4 linked regions of the Kluyveromyces lactis genome follow. The protein of the gene in region 2 interacts with the protein of the main gene of each other region in a pairwise test. Links are inferred from orthologs where the notes say so. Each region holds a gene or a part of one and is shown on either strand. Other genes may lie near its edges. The genes, in order: LSM4, PAT1, SCD6 and LSM7.

Region 1 (2,351 bases), on a different chromosome or scaffold from region 2:
CATCGGTAAGCTGAATGAATATAACAAGGCTAAATAAGTTCGCCTCTTATATTTAAAGTGAGGCCAAAAAAAAAAAGTCCGGCTCTCTTCAGGAGTCTCATATTTCTCCTATATAATACTGCATATCTAGCATGGACTTTCTAAACCAAGCATTTTTGTATAGAGTAATTTAAAAAATAACAACATTTGATCTTTTCCACGGTACCCATGCTCACATACTCTTAATATATAAAGCACTGATATACTGCTTTGAACTTAAGGTTCACTAACTCTGAATCATAATTAATAGGTAGTTCTTTTAATTTCATAACCCAAATTCAGTTTTAAATCTCAAAAGTGTGAAAGGAGTAACGAGAAAAAGGTTTAGGATATCGCATCGAATGCAATCGAAACAGATGTTTTTATAGACTTTTGACCGTCCAAGCCAACAAAATAGTCTCTTTAACCGCAATAAAAGTGATTGAATATGTAACCATGTAGACACACAAATACTTAAGAATTAAATGCTGAGAAAAGAGGTTAAATCAAAATTGTGGAGTTTGATTACTATTGTTTGACGCCTGCGAATACGAAAGCTGTGGATTGGATGATGCATCGTATTGTGATCTATTTTGAATATTATAACGACGAGATCCTGCATTGTTATGGCTGTGAGTATTGTTATTATTATTATTATTATTATTATTGTTGTTGTTGTAATCCCTTCTGTTACCTGAGTTTTGATAGTTTCTTCTACCACCTCTTCTGTTACCATCCCTATTCTGATAATAATTATTGTTATTATTGTAGTTGTTATTTCTTCTTCTATCGTCTTTACCGCCTCTGTTTTGACCCCATTGTTGTTTTACCTTGTCTATGATATCATCTTGCAAATTAACATACTTGATGAAAGAACCTTTCAAATAGAAGCTTGGTAATTTCAAAGTCTCTCCACTAGCTACATGAGTGACATTGGAAAGTGTCAAGTTCATCCAATTGTCTACATCAGATAGCGTACCTTCCACAGTTTCTCCATTTTTTAGTTCAACATGCATTGTTTGACCCTTTGCATTGGTCAATAAATATAATGGAAGCATTTTATGTTATAACTTATTGATCTGTTTTACCAATTATAGTGTGCCCGTGCTGTCGTATTTCTTTAGGTATCTCAAACCGTAGTAACTTAATCGTAGGAAAGGGTGGGGCCGGAACAATATACAATATACCAAAAAATTAGGACTCTGTCTGTCTGGAGAAGGAAAAATGTGAGGGAAAAAAGTATGAATTAGACTTTGTTGCTTATCTGCGTATCTGTAGTTTGAGTTATGTAACACTCCCTAGTAGGACGAACCAAATGCATACAATTGCATTGACAATATTTAAATTCCAATTACAATATAACTTCAGTTTTTCCAAATTTCATTGAGCTGGAAAAAGCATTCTCGACATTTCATAAAATTCATTTACCGGGTAACACTTAAAAGTTTCGAATCACGTGAGTGTCCCGGGTAATACTGACACGTGAATATAATCTGATTATTGATTTTTCTCTTATTTTTTCACTTTTAAGACTGTTTCTGCCCCCCTACTCCTTCGTGTCATACGGACCCTTCTAGGCGTTTTGAAAGGTTGCCTCAGCTTTGAATATGGGAACACACTGGAGTGAGGTTTGAAATGTGAGATCTGAGATTTTTTTTTTGGTGAGGCATCTAATCTTTCTTTTCCCAATTGGGTAAAGAGATTTGATCACAGTTTAAAATAAAGATTATAATCTTTTGAAAGCAGACTTTCTCACGCACTTTACAATGTCATTTATGATTTGTGTATACCTTTGTTATTAACAGTGTCTGTAGGCTACGTGAACTTAGCTAAATATCAGAGCATTCCAGTTGAGATTGATTTGGTCTGCTACTCCGATATCTGGATACATTTTTGGGCACTGGTGGAAAAGCTAGAATAACCGTAACTGCGTGGTATATTTTACGTTGAATTTTACAAAGTGAGCGAGCTTGAGATCACATTGCCAGGAGCAGAAGCAGAAGCAGCAGCAGAAGGTGACACTCGACTCGAAACGCTTTGTTGACTCTGGCGTGCTTTTCTTTGCTTTGTTTTGTCTAAAACAATTAGGATTTCGTGTGCATTTATTTCTTTCGTGTAATTATGGAACAACACTTGTCGCATCATAGCGGCAACGTTTTTGACAAGGAATCTATCCTTCAAATGCACATGGGCACTCATCATCATTCTGAGAATGATACACTTTTGAAACCGTTCAATTCTAATTTATTAGGAGCTAATAGTGGTGCTACCAATAATTCTTCTTCATCCACGGGAGCATCCTCTTCGATGATCGATGAAAGGCAGATCGATGG
Region 2 (4,213 bases):
GGCTTTACGGTACATATTGCACTTTCGGCGTTCATAAGGATTGAAGTGTTCTAGTAGATGGAAATATGATACATTTGTAATAGTAAATAGAAGAATTACTTAGATACTATAAAGCTGACTTTTTTTTGCAATTTTTTTCCTTGAGATTTGATTTCGAATTTGTAGCACACAGTTAACAGTGGCAATCGAGATAGGGGCTGATCAGAGGAGGCGCACGATATCGATCACTTCAGTTCAGTGATTTCACCATCACGAGCAACAAGACCCATGACATTCAAGAACAAGTTCAAATCCTGATAGAACTTGTTTCTTTGATAAGCCAGTTTAGGGTCTTGTTGAGAAGGGGCATTTAGTTCTTCAGCCTTTGAAATGACTTCGAAAATTTCGTCTCTCACTTCATCAATCAATATACGTTGATGGTTCAATTTTCCGCTCAAAGCAAGCGATGCAAGGAACTGCCAGATGTAAGATTGATCATACTGAGTAGAATCCTGTTCATAAACTGAAATGGCGTGTTGCATATATTCAGGTGTTGGGAAAATTGCAGTCAATTTTGTTTCTAAAGAAGTAAATAGCCTATCATAGACTTCACTCCAAGTGGATACTTCCACAGAAGACAACAGTTTGCCCCTGCTAACATCTTGTTTCATCAAAGCAGCACGTGAAATGAGCACGGTAATCAAATTCAAACCGATACGCGATGTGGTGATGAAAGAAACGTTATTATTCTGAATGACATTTATTAGTAGACTCATTACCTCCAAAAACTCTGCTGAACTGGATAAGAACGAAACAATGATCTTCAAAAACACAGATTGGAACAATTCCATCTTCTTCAGTTGATCTTTAGTAGGAAGTGGAGTAGTCTTGTACGATGATATGACAATGACATTCAAATGAGAAAGTTCCTTGAAGAAGCAGTTGAAAAGCTTAATCTTCTCTTCTCTTGACAAGAAATTCATAATACGTGGCATAATCTTGATACCTTTGTCGAAAGATAAGATGGAAATGAAGGGAGAAACGTCAAAACCGTGGTCCTCAACGTGTAGCGCCTCCCATAATTTTGAACTGTCCGGCTGTTGACCGGATCTCAATTGAGCTTCTAGTTCAAGCACTTCTTCGTAAACAGTTTCAATCAATGATAAAATGAACTTACGGCCACCAGAACGGGATAAAACTGTACGATGGTCCACTGAAGAACTCAAAGCATAAGATGATCTTCTTCTTTTGGCATTGATATCCACGCCTTGCAAAGATTCAGACACCTCATCTAGGGCTGAGCTTGATTGAGAAGACAACGCTGGAGAATCCTCTTTGTGAGTTGGGATTTGTAATTGCTTTCTTGGAGCTTTTGAGTTCCTAGTAGCTGAGATTTTACCCAAGACACCCTCTTTGGCATTATCCAACCCACCCTTACTTTTCTGTGGTCTTTCTTTCGCAACGGTAACAGCCTTCTCGACCTGAGATTGCATTCTCTGTAACGCGACGTCAGTTCTCTTGTAACGACCTCCTAATCTGTGACCCGAGTGCTCTAAATATGCTTTAGCAATAGAATCCTTATTAGATTCAGATGGAGTGACACCCCTTTGAATGATTTTATAAACTTGGAAGTAGAAATCCTCATTGTAGGGATCATCAGTGACAATTTGAGATAACTGATACCTGGTGATAAAATCCTTGTCTCTTGGAGTCATTACACCAGAGTGTCTGAGAATTTTGTCAACCTTCGATTGTCTGATTTGAAGACGTCTCAATTCTTCATCAGTCAAAGGATCTTGGGTGCCAAACCTCCTTGGACCACGGCGATACTCTCTAGGTGTATGAGGTGGAGTTGGCACCTGCTCTGATTCTGTTGGCACAGGTGTTGGAGAGTTAGAATGCTCATAATCTTGAGTAGAACGGACAGCTTGGGTTCTAGCAGCAGTGTCAACGGAGTGAGGCTGTTGGAACACTTGTTGCTGTTGGTGTTGTTGTTGGTGCTGCTGATCTTGTTGGTGTTGTTGAGGCAAGTATTGGGGAGGTAACTGCTGTTGGTGGGGCTGCTGGGGCTGAACAGGAGGTTGATTTTGCATTGGTGGCATAGCCATCTGCGGATGTTGCATATGATGTGCAATGTTTCCTTGTGTTTGATTGTACATTATCGGTGGTACTTGTTGGAATTGTTCCTGAGGGTTAACAGGTTGATTAGGAAATCCGGCATTACCGAATTGATTAGGGATAACAGGGGGAATATTTTGCCCAGGGAATTGCTGGTATTGACCTTGAGGGAACCCTTGTGGAATAAAGCCGTAGCCAGGGTTCTGCGGAGGTTGCATACCATAGAATCCAGGTTGAGGCGGCATAGCCATCTGTTGTTGTCTGTCTAAAGATTGAATGGCCAATCCTTCCACATTAGGTGCACCTTGCTGTTGAACCTGTGGTGGGGCTTGGAATTGTGTAGGGGCTTGAGGTTGCACCTGTTGTTGCTGATTACCGGAGCTGTTACCCCATAAAGATTCCATAGGTTGCATGTCCAGCGATTGTTCGAAACCAGGTTTACAGTCTGCTTGTCTGTTCATTTTGGCATTTGCAATAGATGCATAAGAAACAGGAGCTGGTGCTGGTGCCCTACCAGAACCTGAACCAGCGCCAAGCTCCCCTTTACCGTAACCAAAATCAAAATCTGTACCCAGATCCGCTCCAGTACCAAAAGTTTCATCATTGAGCAAATCATCTTCCTCTGGCTCATAATCACCCAAGCCTTGATACGTTTCTTCGAAATCTAAAGAATCCTCCTCGCCTTGCTGTTTCCTCTCACGAGGTTTTCGGCCCGTGGCGTCAAAACCGAAGAATGACATCGTTCAGTGATTCAGGAATATAAGGACTCCTATACTAATTGGGCAAAAATCGATTTCTAGATCAGAATTGTCGACAAATCCTATTATATTCTCTTAAAAACACAAGTAATGTGATTTAAGTCGCTACCTGCCTGCGTTTCGTTCAAGCAATCTTCCAACAAACGGTCTCTGAATATCTCTGATCACTTATTTTTGAGCATAGAAACTACTTTGCTTGTTAAGTGAATTACATTTTTGGGTTGTTGTTTGATGAAAAATTTCACCGTGCAAGATGATATACATATTAAGGATTTCTAGTTCAAAATTTGAAATTCAGGTCATGTGATTTCAAATATTTGACATTTTTCAACATGGTAGTTTAGAAAGTTCCAATACAAACTCGTACGTAGTCTTTCTTTCCTTCATTAGCAGCATATATAAAGTGATTGCGAATAGACAAAGATGACATATACTACTAACATCCTAGGTACAGCTATCTGGAAAATATATCAGCTTAGCAGTTTAGTCTTAAACCTAAGTAATAAAAGATATCTGATCTAATAGCAGTGACCAAGTTCTAATAATTTTAATCTGATTAGCAGTGAAAATACTGATTTGTATGAAGATCTGAATCAAGTATAGTGCTCGAAAAGAATCAACTCAGACTGGTAAAGTGGACTTAACTGCAACTTGGAGAGTACGAAATATCTAAACTATAATCTTGGATTTGATACTAGAAAATGAAACAGAGATTGAGTTCGTTAGATTTGCAACTGATATCCAAAGAGTTGGAGAATCAAATTGTAGGATTTCGCTTAAGAAATATCTATAACATTGCTGACTCAAACAGGCAATTCTTATTAAAGTTTGGAAAACCCGATTCCAAGTTAAACGTTGTCATTGATTGCGGATTGCGAGTTCATACTACTGACTTTACCAGGCCGATTCCCCCGACTCCTTCGTGGTTTGTTTCCAAATTGAGATCGTATTTGAAAGAAAAACGATTGACGGCAGTTAAGCAGATCCCAAATGACAGAATAATTGTGTTTACTTTTGCTGATGGTAAGTACTACCTTGTTTTAGAATTTTTCAGTGCCGGAAATGTGCTTTTATTGGATGCTGACCAAAAAATTCTTTTACTACAGAGAGTTGTCGATGATTATTCGATGAAAGTTGGTGAATTTTATGACATGGCCAACTTTGCAGAAATTAACCAAACTTCAACTACGGTTCCTGATCCTAAGGAATATTTCGAAAATGAAATAGCAGATTGGTTGAAAGAAGCCGACGTTAAAGCCAAAAGCACAATTGTGCCCGGAGAGGCTAAAAAAGGTAAACTCAAGGGAAAAGCATCTGTTCCGTCTATTCAAAAACTTTTATTTGTTCATGCTCCACAT
Region 3 (2,705 bases), on a different chromosome or scaffold from region 2:
GGGAAAAGGACAAGACTGGCATGCACACATTACTGCTGTGACGATATCACCTAGGTTCAGGAGAATATCGCTTGCATCGATGCTATGTGACACATTAAAAACCATAACAGATAACTCCCCGCATAATGTGAACTTTATTGATTTATTTGTGAAATGCAATAACCAATTGGCGATCAGTTTATATGAAAAATTGGGATATTCTGTCTATAGAAGAGTTGTAGGATATTACAACTCGCAAACTGATCCAATACCTTCCCGGTCAACAAAACCAAATGACCTCAAGGATGCCTTTGACATGAGACATGGGATGGAAAGAGACCAGGGAAAAAGTCTTCGTGCTGATGGACGGAAACATAATTGCTTGCCGATGGACATACGGTTTTAATGCTGTACTTTTAAAATTATAATAGCTTTTAAATTTGTATACTTAGTGTTTCTATGTTACACATGCGTCTTTCCCTGCTTTTACTTCGATAGATTGCTCGATTCATTTCGTGTTAGCTTCAATTTCCCGGTGTGTTAAGAGGTAGTTGAGATAATAGGTATTTAATGGGGTTCTGTTAAGATTCAACATCATGGACTGGTGGCTTGTTGGCAGCATTACGATTTCCACCACGGAAGCCACCGCGGTTACCGCCACGGTTACCTCTATATCCACCACGACCTCTGAAGCCGCCACGACCATTGTTTCTTGGTCTGGCTTGACCGAAAGTATCCAAGTTGACCTGGCGTTCCTCTTCCCATTTGGCAGAAGACGAGTTTTCTACGGCGGAACTTGAAATGGAATCAAAGAATGAGGATTTTTTATCGTAGAAAATCTCATCTGTCTTGGAGGTTTGCTTCTCTTGTTCTATATCTGATTCTCTGGGCTTTTCAGCATTCTGGAATTTGGCGTTGTTACTTTCGAAATCAAATTCAGAATCTGGAACAGCAGAAGGAGCCACCGCAGCCACAGGAGCAGCAGGAGCCGCAGACTTCTGCTGTTGCTGGTTAGGAACTTTCTTTTCGGTAACAGGCTGTTGGCGGGTCTGCTGTCTTTGCTGCTGCTGTTTTTGCTGGTGTTGTTGGGGAACTTGCTGCTGATCCTTGTCTGGAGCGTACACACCATACCCGGCCACCGCAGCAGGAACGTTGGGCCCATTTGCATTAGCCAACGGAGCTGGTGGTTGACCGCTTACCTGAGGTGGCAATACAGGTTGTACTTGTTCCAAAGGAACGTCTAAAATGTTTAAATCCTTAACGTCATTACCGTTGAAAGGCACCGTATCGTAGATATTAGGGTTGGGATAGATTTCTTCCGGGCCCCATCCCTTGCGTCCCTCTGTACCGAAACAACGAACTTGTCTTAAAGTAACAACACCTTTCTCAGAGTCAATAGACTCCAATAAGCCGACATAACGGTTATCAGTATTCGAAATAAGAGCAATAGTCTTACCAATATATTGCGACATCCTTTCAAAAAGTGGACACTCTATAATCAATAAATTAACTTCTAAAACCCACTAGATACAAACAAATATCCTTCTTGAACAACGATCAAAGTGTGGGAATAGTTCTAAATTAAGAGCGAACGTTAGCAGATGCAGTCAGTATTATTCAATGTCATAGTCCCTTAGATTTCTAAAGATTCTTCAATTGGAAATACCTGCATGGAAATTCATAGTTTTGACGGTTTCAATATTAATTTTCGATGTTGACGAATGGCATTTCAAAACCACGTGATCAATATCAACACTTTTTTTTTTTCTTTTCGAAGAATCCTCACTTCGAGGCAGACGAGAGCCAAAAAATGTGTGGAGAAGGGACATTACAGCCGAAAAACTGGAAAATAATCTGTGATAAGTGACCGCTATTCATCTAATTGGGGAATAATTCTGGGAAAGTAACTACTATATAAATGGAATATAATTTCTAAGGTGTAAAGTGCAAAATGTTCCTGTTTTCAAGCCTAAACTCTTCGGTTGGAAGCGGAGAATAATAAAATCAAAAAAAAAAGTAAATTTAGTACTTTGCAGTGCTTATTGAATGAATCACCGCCCCTCTAACAATTTATTGTGAACAGGAGATAATCAATTTTATAAACGCCGAAGTTTAGTAGATCAGGGTCAATTAAATCACGTACCACCGTAACATATGGCAAGTTTAGAGAATGCTTTCGTTGGGGCAGTCTCCAGCGGGTTTGCCAATTTGGCAGTGTATCCACTTGATTTGGCGAAAACTGTGATTCAAACTCAGTTGAAACAAGGTGATTTGTACCCTTCTTCTGATGTTCAAGCTGATGTCTCTACCAAGGAAAGTACTGGCTCCAGTAAACCGAAGAAACACGGTATACAGCAGATTAAACCGAAGCCTGAACCTCCGACAGCGACTAAAGAGTCATTGGAGCAGCGGTATAAGCATGCATTAGATGTGATTGTAAAAGTTTATCGGAATGAAGGGTTTGGTGGATTATACCATGGGTTAAGCGCATCATTGCTTGGAACTTTCATACAGAGTTTCTCTTATTTCTTCTGGTATACCTTGATCAGAAGACATTATTTCCGTGTGAAGAAAGTGAAGGGTGAGGCTGCCAGGTTTTCAACAATTGAAGAATTGCTGCTTTCCATGCTGGCAGCAGCAACCTCTCAGTTATTCACTAATCCAATCAACATTGTTTCGACAAAACAACAGACTAGACGTGGTTTAGAAGGGGACAACAGTTTCAA
Region 4 (2,528 bases), on a different chromosome or scaffold from region 2:
AAATGGTTGTGTAGAACTCATATTATTTTCTTTTAGCAGCAGATAAACCTAAGTGAAGTTCGCTTTGATGCGCTAATTGATTGGTCTTCAGTAAAGAGTAAGAATACTACAGAAAATATTATTCAAACAGATTTGCAGCAACAAGCGAAAAGAGAATTTGAAACGTTAAAAGAACAACTCTCACAAGAGATATATACTCACATATATATAAATGAACACCTGGACGCAGTCGGTTTAAAGAATTCAAGATATCTCTCTAATCAGTCGATGCGATGAGATACGGTTTTTTGGTCGAAATTTAACCAAAAAGCTTTGCTGATGTTAGAAAAAAGATTCAATAAGTCACGTGAACGCACATTTGTGCAGATTAGGTCTTGATAAGTGAGATGTAGCCGGTTAGGAAAGTATCTCCGTTGGAGATACTTATTTCATTAGATACAGGTAGAAATGTGGATATGGGCTCATAGTGTGAGTTTGATATAGCACTGAACGTTATATAGCACTATTAATGAACATATATGGTACACTGTTGCTTGAAATTTTTTTTTTTTGGGTCTTAACTAGGTATTGATGATCTCAGCACCTTCGAGGGAACATAGCGAAAGTAGAGCTGTTCCTCTTATGACGACCAAACCAATTTTTTTGGCTTGGTCCTTGTGGATGATGGTTTCATCTTCTGGGTCTCTTGCATATTCGACGGTTTCGTCAAGAACCAAGTTCATTAGCTCGTCATAACCCTTTAGGATTCCAGTGACCAGTCTTCCCCCTATGAACTTGACACGTACTTCTGTGTCCTTATATTGTGCAAGATTTATGATAGACTCACGCTTTGGGCCTTCGAACTTCTTCTTCTGCTCTTGTCTCGGTTGTTGTGATTGCCTCTGCAGAGAAGGGGAATGTATAAACTCTCTAACTGTTAGTAAATTTGAACTTAAAATGTAGAATGGATCATTGTTTTGAGAAAGTTGAAGAAGTTTTAGAAAGCCGTCCTAATTATAGTAGTTAACATACTGCTTCGCTCATTATTAGTAGTTGGTTGGGTGGGGTAGCGCTGTTTGCTCAATGGGTTATTGTCAAAGTGTGTTACTGGTTTCAAATTAACTTTTCATTTAAGTTTACGGAACATTGAAAAATTCGATGTTCAAACATGCCTGGACAAAACGACAAACATTGAACTTACAGCATCGAAGACAAAATAAAACAGAGGATATATCAGCACCGATAATGTCATCTGACGTGGAAATTATATCCGATTTGGTTAACACTCAGATCTTTGTGAAACCTGGTACATCATGGGACCATCTGGGCCAAAGATTGAACGAATTGACCGGTGTTGATGTTCAAGACATGAAATTGGTGATAAATGGCAATGCACAGAACAGCAAGTATTTGAAAGATCTCAAAGACCAGAAAGTAGAGAAAATCCAGTCCATAAAAGTGATAGACACCAACGAAAACAGTTTAGCAAGCCAATTGAAAAATGATTTGCTACATGCTAATAGCGATGACGTTTCGTTCCGATACACCATGGACGATTATGAGAACAGAAGGGATTCTGTATTACAATGGAAAAAAGATAACAAGTTAGGGAAATTTAATCCTGAATACCGCTCTAAGATGGAAGAACAACTACAACTGAATATCGATAAGGCAGAACTATTACAAAAACACGTTGGAGAAAGATGCAGAGTACTGTCCAACGAGGAAACAACGACCGATTCCACCAAGGTCCCCGAAAGAAGAGGATGGTTACGATACGTGGGAAAAGTTCAAGAGATCAGTAATACAGATGTATGGTGTGGAATTGAATTTGACGAACCTGACGGTAAGAACAATGGTACATTCCAAGGAACGAAGTATTTCGGACCAGTAAAAAAGAATTACGGCGGGTTTGTGAGACCTGCCGTTGTTGAAGTAGGTCCTCAATTCACGCCATTAGCTGACGATGAATTGATGCTCACAGATGATGAGTTATAGGGAGTTGATAATTTACATAAGTTTAATTATATTCTCGTCCTTGGCCTCGTGGATGATACTCTGAACTACGGAAATGACACCTGACACACACGTGACAGGGTCTACTACTGAATGAATTCGTAATTGGTTTGAGTCGGGTGTTGTGCCGTAGCTGGTAAAAAGGCCACGTTGCGACTTCGGTTCGAATCTTCCTCAGAACACAAAGTCTCTGTTCATATGAACCTGGTTACAAAAAGATCAAATATGGCAATTCATTTCCTGTTCTCAACTTCATACTAAGCCCTTGAAGCGCTTCAAAGAATATTCACTCTTAAGTATAAGGTGGATGCTCGTTACTTTGAAGTGTTTTGAGAAGAGGTCATGTGATTTGAATGTTCTACTTGATCAGAGGAGTTGTTCTCCTCATTCCAGGTGGGAAATTCGGTGGAACGCAGCTGTCCGCTCGCCGAGGGTTCAAACCCCCGGTGAGTTATAATCAAGCAAATCCCTAACGGGATTTTCGCTTCGTGAGAAGGTTGTTTCTAATGGAACTTCAGCTTGAGCCCTATTGT

What was found.
Region 1: the proteins of PAT1 (region 2) and LSM4 interact in binary tests that used the Saccharomyces cerevisiae proteins (3 or more experiments, as listed by UniProt). The link is inferred for Kluyveromyces lactis from reciprocal best matches to the Saccharomyces cerevisiae genes PAT1 and LSM4.
Region 3: the proteins of PAT1 (region 2) and SCD6 interact in a two-hybrid assay, tested with the Saccharomyces cerevisiae proteins (2 studies listed by BioGRID). The link is inferred for Kluyveromyces lactis from reciprocal best matches to the Saccharomyces cerevisiae genes PAT1 and SCD6.
Region 4: the proteins of PAT1 (region 2) and LSM7 interact in binary tests that used the Saccharomyces cerevisiae proteins (3 or more experiments, as listed by UniProt). The link is inferred for Kluyveromyces lactis from reciprocal best matches to the Saccharomyces cerevisiae genes PAT1 and LSM7.

The regions. Positions count from the first base shown.
Region 1 is NC_006041.1:1,855,112-1,857,462, reverse strand, and holds LSM4 (U6 snRNA complex subunit LSM4), read right to left. Parts: upstream 1,077-2,351; coding exon 525-1,076; downstream 1-524. Other genes in the region: TMN3 (Tmn3p), read left to right, coding at 1-37; SBF complex DNA-binding subunit SWI4, read left to right, coding at 2,140-2,351. UniProt on the Saccharomyces cerevisiae protein: Component of LSm protein complexes, which are involved in RNA processing and may function in a chaperone-like manner. Component of the cytoplasmic LSM1-LSM7 complex which is involved in mRNA degradation by activating the decapping step.
Region 2 is NC_006042.1:2,529,572-2,533,784, reverse strand, and holds PAT1 (deadenylation-dependent mRNA-decapping factor PAT1), read right to left. Parts: upstream 2,838-4,213; coding exon 225-2,837; downstream 1-224. Other genes in the region: RQC2 (Rqc2p), read left to right, coding at 3,557-4,213. UniProt on the Saccharomyces cerevisiae protein: Activator of decapping that functions as a general and active mechanism of translational repression and required for P-body formation. First decay factor recruited to mRNA, at a time when the mRNA is still associated with translation factors.
Region 3 is NC_006038.1:986,160-988,864, forward strand, and holds SCD6 (Scd6p), read right to left. Parts: upstream 1,452-2,705; coding exon 561-1,451; downstream 1-560. Other genes in the region: peptide alpha-N-acetyltransferase complex B subunit NAT3, read left to right, coding at 1-385; ANT1 (Ant1p), read left to right, coding at 2,134-2,705.
Region 4 is NC_006041.1:2,036,776-2,039,303, reverse strand, and holds LSM7 (Sm-like protein LSM7), read right to left. Parts: upstream 1,024-2,528; coding exon 1,012-1,023; intron 882-1,011; coding exon 561-881; downstream 1-560. Other genes in the region: FUR1 (uracil phosphoribosyltransferase), read right to left, coding at 1-21; ALF1 (Alf1p), read left to right, coding at 1,225-1,977. UniProt on the Saccharomyces cerevisiae protein: Component of LSm protein complexes, which are involved in RNA processing and may function in a chaperone-like manner. Component of the cytoplasmic LSM1-LSM7 complex which is involved in mRNA degradation by activating the decapping step.